3 linked regions of the Drosophila melanogaster genome follow. The protein of the gene in region 3 interacts with the protein of the main gene of each other region in a pairwise test. Each region holds a gene or a part of one and is shown on either strand. Other genes may lie near its edges.

Region 1 (3,754 bases), on a different chromosome or scaffold from region 3:
ATCCCTAAAAAAAAAGATTCATAATTTCTTAAGTGGATTTGGAGTTTGAAGCACACTTTTTGGCGACTCGCTGTAAATACTGGCCTTATGTAGAGAAAAGAAAAAAATCTAAACTAAATATGACTATAACTATAAGATATAAAATTTTTCGAATTCTATATTATACCTCTTTTACATGCTGGCGGAACTTGTTTCCAAAATAAACCGGTTCCCTGAAATTGTGGGCGTGTAGAAAGGCGCGCAGGTTCTCCATGATAAAATAGCTGAAAGAGATAATAAAAATATAGTTTATTTATAAAAATTAAAAAGTATATTTCACTTACGTGTCATCGTCCGCTTTGAGGAACCAGTCGTACTTCTGGAAATGGTGCTTATAGACGTACTGCAGCGCCGCCCGGGTCTTGGGCCACAAATTGGAGTAGCCCTCCCTCACATTGAGCGCCACGGATCCCAGTTCCTTGTCCGCCTTGGTGCTCATGAAGATCAGCTTGTTGCAGCGCCTTCCCCAGGTGCGTTTGATGTGAATGGCGCGGGTGTGGTGCGTCTTTGGACTGGTCAGCACCATGCACAGGACACGCGTCTCGTTGAAGAGTCGCGCGGCCAGGATGTCCGGCGGTGGATTCGTGGTCGAAGGAGCAATGGTGGGTGGGGTGCGTAGGTTCCTGCTCCGCTGGCTGCTCGGAAAGGGACTGCTCTCCTCCTTCAGCCGATCCGCATGATTCTGCCAGCGAGTTCGTTTCATCAGCTCGGACAGAAGTATTCCCCATGCCAGACCGATCAGCAACATTAGCATCAGCTCCAAACGTTTTCGATTCGGTCGTACTCCCATCATTCTGATGCTCCTCTTGAGGCTTTACGGAGAAAATACACTTATCAGTATATGATAATATACACTTATATATGACAATATGATAAGCAATTTGATAAGCTATCGAAGTATCTATAAGATATTCACTTGATACAGGACAGTAAGGTTTTAGGTTTTAAGTTGCTAAATGAATCTAATAAACAACCTAATAAACAATCTATATATCAATAAAGGCTATATAAATATTTTCAAAAATATTTAACACTCTTTTCTCGGCGTTATTCATAGTATTCACTTTCATAGCTTAAAGATTGATGTATGGACTGTTGGATTCGCTTCGATTTTATCTCTGCTTATTTTCTCTTATTTTTACGATCCGCGTTTGTTTACTTTTTTATGCAAATTTTGCTGCTGCGACCGACCGACCAGTTGTCGTTGATATTGTTTTTGAATCACCGAATTAACACATTCTTGAGCCAGTGACGCAGAGTCGAAAGCCTGTAAAGATGCGGTCGACCTTCGGGAAAACACTCAGTTGGCTTTCTGCTCAGGTGTGTTGTGCTGTCGGCCGATTGGAGTTGGCTCAATTGGCCCGAGTTCAATTCGATCCGCAATTGCTGAGCTGCAAATGGCAAGTGACGCTTTTTCCAGCCGTTTCGAACACATTTGGGCCGTTTCGAATCGTTGGCTTCAATTATGCGACGGATACTTGGAGTTCCTCACTCTTTTACCTCGGCGCACTGGCACAGAATATCAATCACAAGCCCTCAGCGGAACGGCGATAAAAATAAACGCGGCTCGAACGCGACTCGATGCCCCCAAAAAAAGCAAAAAATAAACAAAGAGCCAAGGCAATACGGATAAAAAGCAACTCGAAAACAAACAGCTAACAACGTCTTCACGCTTTGCCGGCAGTTGACAGACTCGGCTTAAATCCAACTCGAAAATGTTGCTGGTGAAATACCTTAACGCTTCTCCCGTTGCCATGTTGCCAGATATTTAACGACCGTACAATACAATACACGTTTTTTCAATCCGAAAAATAAAATATATATACAGTATACCAAATATCAAAGTCAGTTAAAGAGAGTTTTTGGGAATACATACTCGCCAAGTAATGCAATAATGCTTAAATTAAAGAAAAATGTATGCAAACTATTATAGTTAGCTAATTATATTGATAATTATATAATTAAATAATGATTTTTTGTTACTGACTCCCAAATAGTCCACTCAACTTTAACCTTTCATTGTTTGGAGCTACCGATTGGCCAAAAGCCATTTCGATGGCTCCTTAAATGGCTATAACACTTGGCACTCGCAAAATTAATGACCTGAGTTATTCCGCAAGACAGGCTTCACTTTACCACCTGTGTTCAAAATTTTCAAAATGCCAGCGAAAAGCTTTTGCCAAGCTTCTTGTTAACCATCTCAACTAAAAAGGCCTGAAGTTAGGCAACACATTCAGCTATGGTGAACAATTTGTATTTATTTTTTAAAAAACTAGCAATAGATGAAGCACAATGAAGGAATATACAAGGAGTGCGTAGGCCACGAGCAGGACTCAGGCGTAGGGACCGCCGGAGGAGTCCAGCCCTCGCGGAGCATTGGCGTAGCTGTCCTCAGCGAATGTGTCGCTCACGCCGGATCCGGAAACGGAACCCGAAGATGAGCCGGAACCGGACAGGACATTTTCTGAGGCACCTGCTGCCGCTCCCGACGATCGAATGACATCCACCGACTTGGAGCGCTCATCGCGAGCCACAAATGGAGTGGGCTGCGCCACCTGGGCAACAGGGACAACCACCGCCTTAAGGGCATAGGGCACCCGGTTGACCACAGCATTGAAGCCATGCACATCATCCGCCGTGTAGGTCACGGTGCGCTTGTAGCCATCGGGATCGATCAGGCTGTAGAATCCGCGCACCACATAACCATCCCGGGTCTCGCTGTGCTCCTTGATGTCACCGGTGCTCGCGTCGTTCACGGCATAGTTGAAGCTGTAGCTGGCGGGCGGAAAGACCTCGGGCTCCTGGTGCTGGCGCAGAACGGAGCTGACCACCAACGGTTCCGACTGCTGATGCTGAACTGTCTGCTGCTCCTGCTGCTGCTGCGTCGATGAAACCACCTCCGAGTTCTGCTCGTGGCGGAGAACGGGCAGCGGCGAGGGCAGCAGCACGGATTCGGCATTGGCGGCACTGGCCGCATTCTGGAGAAGATTGGAGGCCTGAACACTGGCCGTACGGCTGCCGGCGGTGAACTGATTCCTGGCGGGCGCCACGTAGTCATAGCCATCGGGCGTGGCCTCCGAGTTCAGAGCATTGTTGCTGGGCGTGTGGTAGTCGCTCAGGAAATCCTCGCCAGAACTGGACGCACTGTTGGCCGCCTTCGCCTCCTTCTCGTTGTAGTTGTACTCCGCTTGGCTAGTGGCCAAAAGTGCCAGAGACAGCAGGGCGAAAAACTGCAAGTACATATTGAATGTATTTATCATGAATATATCCATTTGGTCCTTGCATCCTGATCACAACTCACCTTAGCTGCCATCTCAAATCGTTTGGATCTTCCTTTCGTGGGAGTGCCTCTACAAATTGTCAGCTAACTAATGTCATAATTGAAGCAGCCCGGAGTTTTTATACTTCATCCCAATACTTCATGCAGTTCATTACCCAATGTTGGTAGTTATACAATGTCATGCGCCTCAATTGATTGATTTACCATTGTCCAAAGTCGCGACACAATATTGGTAACACTTTCGTTTTCAATTTGTGACCACTTTTATGCTGCGTAAGCGCAGGCCATATGAAAAGATGATATGGAGTAGGTGTGTGATCGTGGAAACATCAGAATGGGGACAAAAGTTGGCAATAAAAGTGGAGAAGAATTCAAGCATTTTTAAAATTTGAACCACAGCTCATTAGTGCCAAAAATACTGCCTAACTTCTCGAT
Region 2 (3,754 bases), on a different chromosome or scaffold from region 3:
AGCAGTTCGAAGCTCTCCTGGGCGGATGGCGAGGAAAGTTTATCCGCCAAGATGGGCTGGTTAACACTACGTTGCAAAAGCGATTTAATCGTATCGACAAACGGTGGCCCACTTTCCTGCTGAGACACTTCCGAGTCAACTGGCTTATTCTCATTAGGTGTAACCAACAGCTGGGCATCAATTACCAGCTTAAGGCTAATCACCTGACCGCTGCCCAGCAGTAGAACTATACCGGCAGGAATTTGTAATAGGGCAAGTCCAAAGACTGCGTTCACCGTCTCACTGGAATCGAATTTTGTGCACAGAATGTACTCTGCACTTGCAGAGACCGCCAGCTCTAGACGATCTTCATCGGACTCGCTTTCCAAGTAACGTTGCAGCTCTGCGATAAAGCTGACCGTAACGGCATGAAGTCCTGCGTTGTGGTAGGCAAAGTAGCGAAGCTCATTGATCAAATCCCGCTTTAAGTATATGGGACAGTTGCCTCCTTCTTTTCCAGTTGCGGGTGCAGATATTCCCAGCTCAAGTTCGACAGTTTCTAGTACATGTACAACGTATTCGGCGGGTTCAATCAACACAGAGTCGTCAACCTCATTGAAAGAATGCTCAGTGGCCTCCGCCTCCATAAGCAGAGCATGGTGAAGCTTTCCATTGGATTCAGCTATAACAATGGTCGGCGGAAGTGATGGGATAATCATTAGGGCACAGGACTCCAGTCCATAATTGTCATGTGCCTGTGGCGTTATGGTAACGGGGCCCTGCAGGCGCGTATTCTCCGAATCCACGCCGGTCATCAAAATGTAGATGTTTCCATTCTCGCGGAGCACAACCATGGGCCACTCTATCCTCTCCTGTTTCGGCAGCGATTTGGCCGCCACAAGGGTTTTGTTGCTCTTATCCAAAGTGGTTTCGTTATTGCCGGCTGTTTCTGGTTCAGTGACACGTGGTTTTGCAGCAGGAGCGATGTCAAAGTCAACGGCTAGCTCGCCAAAGTCGCATAGCGAGTTATTGGCCCCACTTCGAAGCACCGGGGGACCCACCTGCCACACGTGGCGCAACTTGGAGTGATTGTACACTCGAATCGTGTTGTTGTTGAGCAGCACGAGCAGCGTGGAGTCTGACACGGAGTGCGGATGCCAGCGGACCTGGCGCACTTCCAAGTGCGGGTTTTTTAGGAAAAGCTGAGTGTCCAGGCCGAACGTGCGGCAGGTGATCACTGGCTTGCCATCCTTGTAGTATCCATCGGGGCCCCAGCGGCGGGGCAGCTCCATTATGACAACGCCGCGCGGTCCACTTAGTGCCACGAGGGAGCCCTCGTTGGAGGCCAGCACGCGGTCCACCTCCAGGCTCACCAAGCTCGATGGAATCAGTGTCTGGAACTGGATATTCACCTTTGCCGCCAGCGATGAGCGCCAGTTGCGAACCAACAGACAGCTGTCCTTCGCGTGCCAGGCAAAGAGCAGATCGTCCTTGCAGTCCAGCAGGTTCTGAGTCCTTTGCACCACGGGCAACCCATTGCGAATCTTCGCGAACAACTCCGTTTTGTTCAATTCCAAGACATCGGTGAGCGACATCGTTTGTTTATGCTTCAATTCGTTGCCCGGCTTGTAAGTCAATGCTAGTGTGATAGTAGTCTTCGGAAATCCGCAAAGTATTTTTTTTTAGTATTTTTTTAATTCGAATTCATGAAACAAGAAATTTGTTAAAAAAACGCTAACACCAACATTTTCGGAAAATGTACTAATAATTATTGCTGCTTAAACTTTTCAACGAAAGACGTTAGCATAAATCATGCTATAAATTTAAAAAATGGAATAATTGATTAATAGTTAATAAAAGATTATAAAAGGTAGATGTTATTATTTTTTAATATTGGTATAATTCACAGAACCCATTAATTCAACAACTTTTAATAATCTATTTAAAATCACTAAGTGCTATAAACATTTAAGTTCTCTTTTGGAGCTCCAACAGTGGCACAGATTTCAACTTCATCGTAATATCTTCAACAAAGTATAGATTTTCGAAGGGAAAACTCGTTTTAAACCTATAATTCCGCAATAACTTGGCTAATGTAACTTTCGCCGATATTAAGGCATATCTCCAACCTAAACAGAAGGAAATAATAAGAATATAGCTAAAACAATGGTCATAAATTAGCGATCACTCTGTTACCTATGCAATTTCGAATGCCCTTGGTAAAAGGTATATAGGCGTACGGATGCTTGTCCTGGATGTTGTGGGGGAGGAAATGATCTGGGTTGAAGGTCTCCGCATCCGGACCCCAGATCTTTTTGCTTCTGTGCATGTGATAAATGTCGATGGCGATCTGGACCCCTTTGGGAACCACTATACCATTGGACAGCTTCAGATCCTGAGACGTTTGTCGGGATACGACAGGAACAGGGGGTATTACTCTCATGGATTCGTTGAGGATCAGGTCAAGGTACACCATCTGCTGGGTGTCCGCGTAGGATACATCAAAGTCTCCTGTGTTTGGGAATATCGTCTTTATTTCCTCAAAGGCCCTCTCCTGGTATTCCGGAAACATCGCCAGCAACATCAGGGTGTAGTACACTGCATTAGCCGTGGTCTCAAAAGCTCCAAAAACGATGATATTCGACTCATCCTCAACATTCTTCAGGGTAAACACTCCTCGTCTCATCAAATCCGTGACCAGATTTAGAAATAGGTTTTTATCATTGGACTGGATGGAAGGTAGTGCTCCCATTTCGTCCTCGGCCAACTTTCTCTCAATTATCTAAAGGGGTTAAGAGATTCGTAAGTGAATAAGCGGAGGGAGTAGTTGGAGGTGCTCACCTTCCGAATAAACTGACGAATCTCAGTTTTGGCCTGGTAGTAGTGCGATTCCTTTCCAGCCAGCTGCCGGCAAAATCGGCTATTGAGCCACGGAGAGAAGCACATATCTGTCATGGTTTCCAGGATGCTATTAATGGATAGATGCATTCCGATTCCAAGTCAAAACTCACCATTGGTATCGCCCCAGCAAGGAATTGCTCCTGAAGCTCTCTTCATCCTTTACATCGCTGCCCATGGTGGTTTCTGCTTTCATATAAGTATATCATATATTTAATATCAGATCGACTCTTCTAACTGAATTATGCATTCTGGCTTTCGACCACTTTGTATGCAAACAACAAACGTGATAGCCATAATTTATGAGTCTTTTTTTAAACAAACAACACATTCTTCTTTACTCACGGGTGGCAATTCCCAGGGTGAAGCTCTGCAGCAGTGGAATGAGATCCTTCTCGCCGTCATCCTGCAGTGGTTCGAGTTGATCGAGCAGAAGGGCCGTCTCCCGGTTGAAAATGGGCAGGAAGCTGAGTAGCACCTTGTGGCCGAAGGCGGGATTCAGCAGCTTCCGATGGATGCTCCAGCGGGGATCTACACAAATCCACACTTAAGTAACTCCCACACTCGATTCCATAGACACACACCCTTCAGGCTGAATAATCCAACTCCGGCGCCATCGTCCACTGCCTTGTAAATAATGCCCTTGTTGACGCAGTGGGGAGATGTGAAGATATCCTGCACCACTTGGGGATCACTCACAATCATAAAGGGAATGGGCCCCAGCCAGGAGAAAATTGTCGGACCGTGCTTGTCGAGAAAGCAGCCGAATGCGTTGAGGATATCTGCGCACGGACACTCAGATTATTACTCCCGACCAACACAACAAACATCACAACATCCAAAGCACCTTCCCTGCGCATCAGCCAGTGAGCCATGC
Region 3 (3,754 bases):
TAGTCCAGGGTCGAGGACATCGGGACGCGTGGTGGCCGCTATGACGACTACTGATTGGCCAAACTCGTTGGCCTTCAGGTTGTCCAGACTGCTTATCAGCTGCGAGACAATGCGACGTTCCATATCCTTGGACGCCCACTGACGATTTCCTCCGATGGCGTCGATTTCATCGATGAAAAGCACACAAGGCGAGTAGCCAATGGCCTGGTCAAAGACCTCGCGAATCCGTTCTTCCGACTCACCAGAGATGCCACCAATTAGCTCTGTGGCCGGAATTTCCATTAGAGGCATTTTTAGTTGCTGTGTCGTAAAGCAGAGATGATTAATATATGAATTAACGATTCAATGTTCATTTATAAAACTCACCCCGCTAATGGCACGAGCAAGAAAGGTTTTGCCACAGCCTGGCGGCCCATGAAGCAATAAACCTCTCGAAGGCAATAGACCCAATTGAAAGTAGAACTCCGGCGACTTAATATGGATCAGCATTTCACACAACTCCTTAAGAGTGCTATCCATGCCACCAATGTCCCGGAAACTTTCCGTTGGGTGCTGCACCTCCAGATCCCTTTTGAACTTCCGAAGGCGATCGCGACTTTGGTTTTGGTGCAACTGCTGATATAAGCCAGGCACATTACGGTGATCTTTGGAACGCGGAACGGCGTCCTCTGAAAGATTTTTCGCTCTGTTGCCCACAACTTGGTGCACTAAAACAAAAAGTTTAGGTTTCATTGATTTTACAAAAGTATTTAAAAAAAAACTCACGCTTTTGAATGGCCTCCGAACTGCTAACGTGAATAGTATTCGGTTTAGCTACTAATGAAGAATGTCATTTAACCAAGTCATAGACTAATGGATTGATAACCCACCTTTCTTTGCAGCCACTGCGATCTCCGGCACTTCCTCCATCAGGCGTTTCAAAGCACTGCCCTGCACTGCTGGAGTAGGAGGAGGAGGAGCAGCAGCAGCAGCTACCCCATCTCCGTTGGTGGTTTTTGTATTGGAGTCATCTTCGTTCTCGTCTCCACTGGATATATCGATGGGCTCGCTGATTGGCTTGGGCGCCAGCGGCTTTCTTGGTTGACTATACAGGCTGTTCATCATATTGTTCATCACACTATTCGTGGGTGGTGGCTCGGAGTCCTCGCTAACACAATCTTCCTCGGAACTGCTTACCTTGTCCAAGTTATAGCTTTCCGAAATGATCGAGAATGCTGTAATAGAAATATTTGTTAAAAACAAATAACCACAATGTTCCATGTTTACCTTGGTGCACCAGCTGTCTGAATGGTCCGAATTTGCGTCGTGAATATTCCGGATACTTTTGCATCAACTCCCTGGTCATCTGTTTCACATCCAGGTAGGTTTCCCCGATGTGCTCCTCCAGATACTGAAATCGAAAGTAGAACGCAATTAGCACACGATGCGGGTAGCCTGCGACCTAACCTTGTTTTCCCTTGCCCAAAATCGCCGCCCTGCAAAGGGTTTTTGTGTGTTTTTTTTTTTTTTTTTGTGCTGCTTTCATGGGAATTTACCGGCTATCGGGCAGCTGGCTAGTTTGTGGATATAAACAACGGATTTGGACACACCTTCTTTACTCGGATCGTTATTAGATGGTCGTGCAGCAGCGGCTTGGCTTTCTTCATATTATTCGAGGATTACTTCTGTCTAGACATTCGCACGAGGACAATTAAATCACTTTGCCGCTCGCAAAATGCTAACGAAGCGAAGCTGTGGCTTCGATATCTTCGCTTTGGAGGCCGTTTCCACTCTTCCACATTTTCACCATGGTTTCGTATATATCGAACGAGATTTATATCAGTCAAGCGTTAATATTTAAATAATTTCTACTCGCCAGACACCTCAAATTGTTTTATTTAAAATAATATTAAGCTAACGATAAGAGTTTTAAACCTTTTGACTTTTACGAGAGCGAAATTCTCGAAAATTTTTCGGTGTGAACACGCAGTTAAGACCGAAGTAACTGTTCATCGATAGCGTTGGCGTTGTCCAAAAACTATCGATGGCCGAAGTCAGCTGTTCGGCCTTGTTATCTCGCTCCCGCCCCCAGCATAGTTGCTGACTCCGCTCTGCTCTCTCGCTTGCTCTCTGAACGGAACAACTGAGTAGTCTGAATTTAACAAGTAACCAAACCAAAAATTAAATGTGCTTTTACATCAACAAACGCTGGACGCGCAATAAGTGAGGTGTTAATTATGCGCCGCAGCAGCAACAGCAGCCAGCAGTGAAAAAATGTTGCACTCCATCTGAGTTCGGCCGCACAATTGTTTTGGATTTTGGATAAATCGCAAAATTGGAACGAATAAGAAACAGCCAGAAGAACATCGAACGGAAAAAAAAGAAAGCGCGATGTGCGACGGTGAAATTGGCGATCCGGTGACTCAGCCACGTTCCGAGGGCGGTGGATTGGTCACAATGGATCAGGAGACCCGGACGCACTACCTCGACGCGGCGACAGATAAGCACCTGACCAATGGATCGCCAGATCCAGAGCCCGTGGATCCGCTACTCGTGGCCCAGTGGTCCATCGAGAATGTGACCAGTTGGGCCACCTGCATGGAGCACTTTTCGAGAACACTGCTCGACTGCCTGCGCCAGGAGGCCATCGACGGCGAGGTGCTGCTCTCCCTCACCGAGGAGGATGTACGTGATATGCGCTACAAACTGGGCTACAAACTCACCTTCGGCGAGCTCAAGAAATTCTGGATAGCCGTGCTCAAGCTGCAGCTACTGGTGAAGAACAGCTCTGCGGAATCCGTAATACTGGGCATCGAGTGCCATGGGAACGGGAACTCGGTATACATGCCACTAGCCAGCACCGGCTGCGGTCCACCGTCCTCATCCACGTGCCCCTGTCCGCAGGCCGAATGCCCCAGCTATGTGTCCGATTGCGATACCTATTTGCGCATGGGCGGACGCTATGTTCCGCCGGAATACTTCAAGACCGCCATGAGCTTAGGTGAGTGGTCCACAACCTGCCCCCCTTCAATTACGAAGGTCAATTGTCCATTGATTGCTTCGGCGGGCTTATCGGTCGTGTGCCAATTCTCGAGAGCTTTTCGCTTTTCTCTATATAGCGCAGTTCAGGCATATACTTTCCTTGCGATAGCCGAGAAGTAAGAGGTTTCCCCATGGGTATGACTATTATGTAGTATATATATAGTAAAATTGTTGTTTTATTTATGAGTCGAACTAATGTCCCGTCAGTTGACTAAGGACAACGCCAAGAAATAAAAAATAGTTTTTAGGAGAAATAGTTTCACGACTTTATTCTTTGGATCTCAGCTTAAGACTAAAAATCAAATGCAAATTGGATTGAGGAGAAGCCTCAGTATTTGAACAATATTTGTATTTCGGGAGAGCCTCGCTCTTGGGTTCTTAAGATTAGGTAGCGTTGAAAGAGGGCAGTCAAATCTGCTTAGGTCAGGCTTTAGGATGTTTACAAGAACGGCTGCGCTGCCAAAGATAAACGAATGCTGCGCAGCTGGGATACGTTATGGAAAATTACTAGAGTGCATTACTGATTTCTTTGAAATAATGGAAGTGGCTGGTTTGGACCACCCAAATACGTCACTCCCCTTCCCTTAAAGAGAAGCCTATACTTGGGCTGGGATTGATGGATATAGTGTGGGAAATGGAGTTTCTTCTATTTCTGTTTGTTGTGGTGTGTTTTGATTTTGATTTTTTCTTATTTTAAGTTTTGCATACAGCATCATAAATGGTTTAAATGATA

Evidence for each region.
Region 1: the proteins of smid (region 3) and CG2975 interact in a two-hybrid assay, tested with the Drosophila melanogaster proteins (one large-scale study listed by BioGRID).
Region 2: the proteins of smid (region 3) and mbo interact in a two-hybrid assay, tested with the Drosophila melanogaster proteins (one large-scale study listed by BioGRID).

What each region holds. Positions count from the first base shown.
Region 1 is NT_033779.5:2,838,072-2,841,825, reverse strand, and holds the start of CG2975 (uncharacterized protein), read right to left. Parts: upstream 1,703-3,754; 5' UTR 1,199-1,702; intron 852-1,198; 5' UTR 830-851; coding exon 324-829; intron 264-323; coding exon 167-263; intron 5-166; coding exon 1-4. Other genes in the region: Cpr23B (cuticular protein 23B), read right to left, coding at 2,373-3,269, 3,341-3,352.
Region 2 is NT_033777.3:12,677,428-12,681,181, forward strand, and holds the start of mbo (members only), read right to left. Parts: upstream 1,626-3,754; 5' UTR 1,575-1,625; coding exon 1-1,574. Other genes in the region: Cyp313a4 (cytochrome P450 313a4), read right to left, coding at 1,948-2,108, 2,176-2,761, 2,821-2,947, 2,991-3,063, 3,223-3,408, 3,462-3,659, 3,725-3,754.
Region 3 is NT_037436.4:7,379,847-7,383,600, reverse strand, and holds the start of smid (smallminded), read right to left. Parts: upstream 1,753-3,754; 5' UTR 1,647-1,752; coding exon 1,590-1,646; exon of another isoform or gene 1,447-1,589; intron 1,391-1,446; coding exon 1,267-1,390; intron 1,215-1,266; coding exon 870-1,214; intron 817-869; coding exon 766-816; intron 708-765; coding exon 367-707; intron 301-366; coding exon 1-300. Other genes in the region: SMSr (sphingomyelin synthase related), read left to right, coding at 2,371-2,980.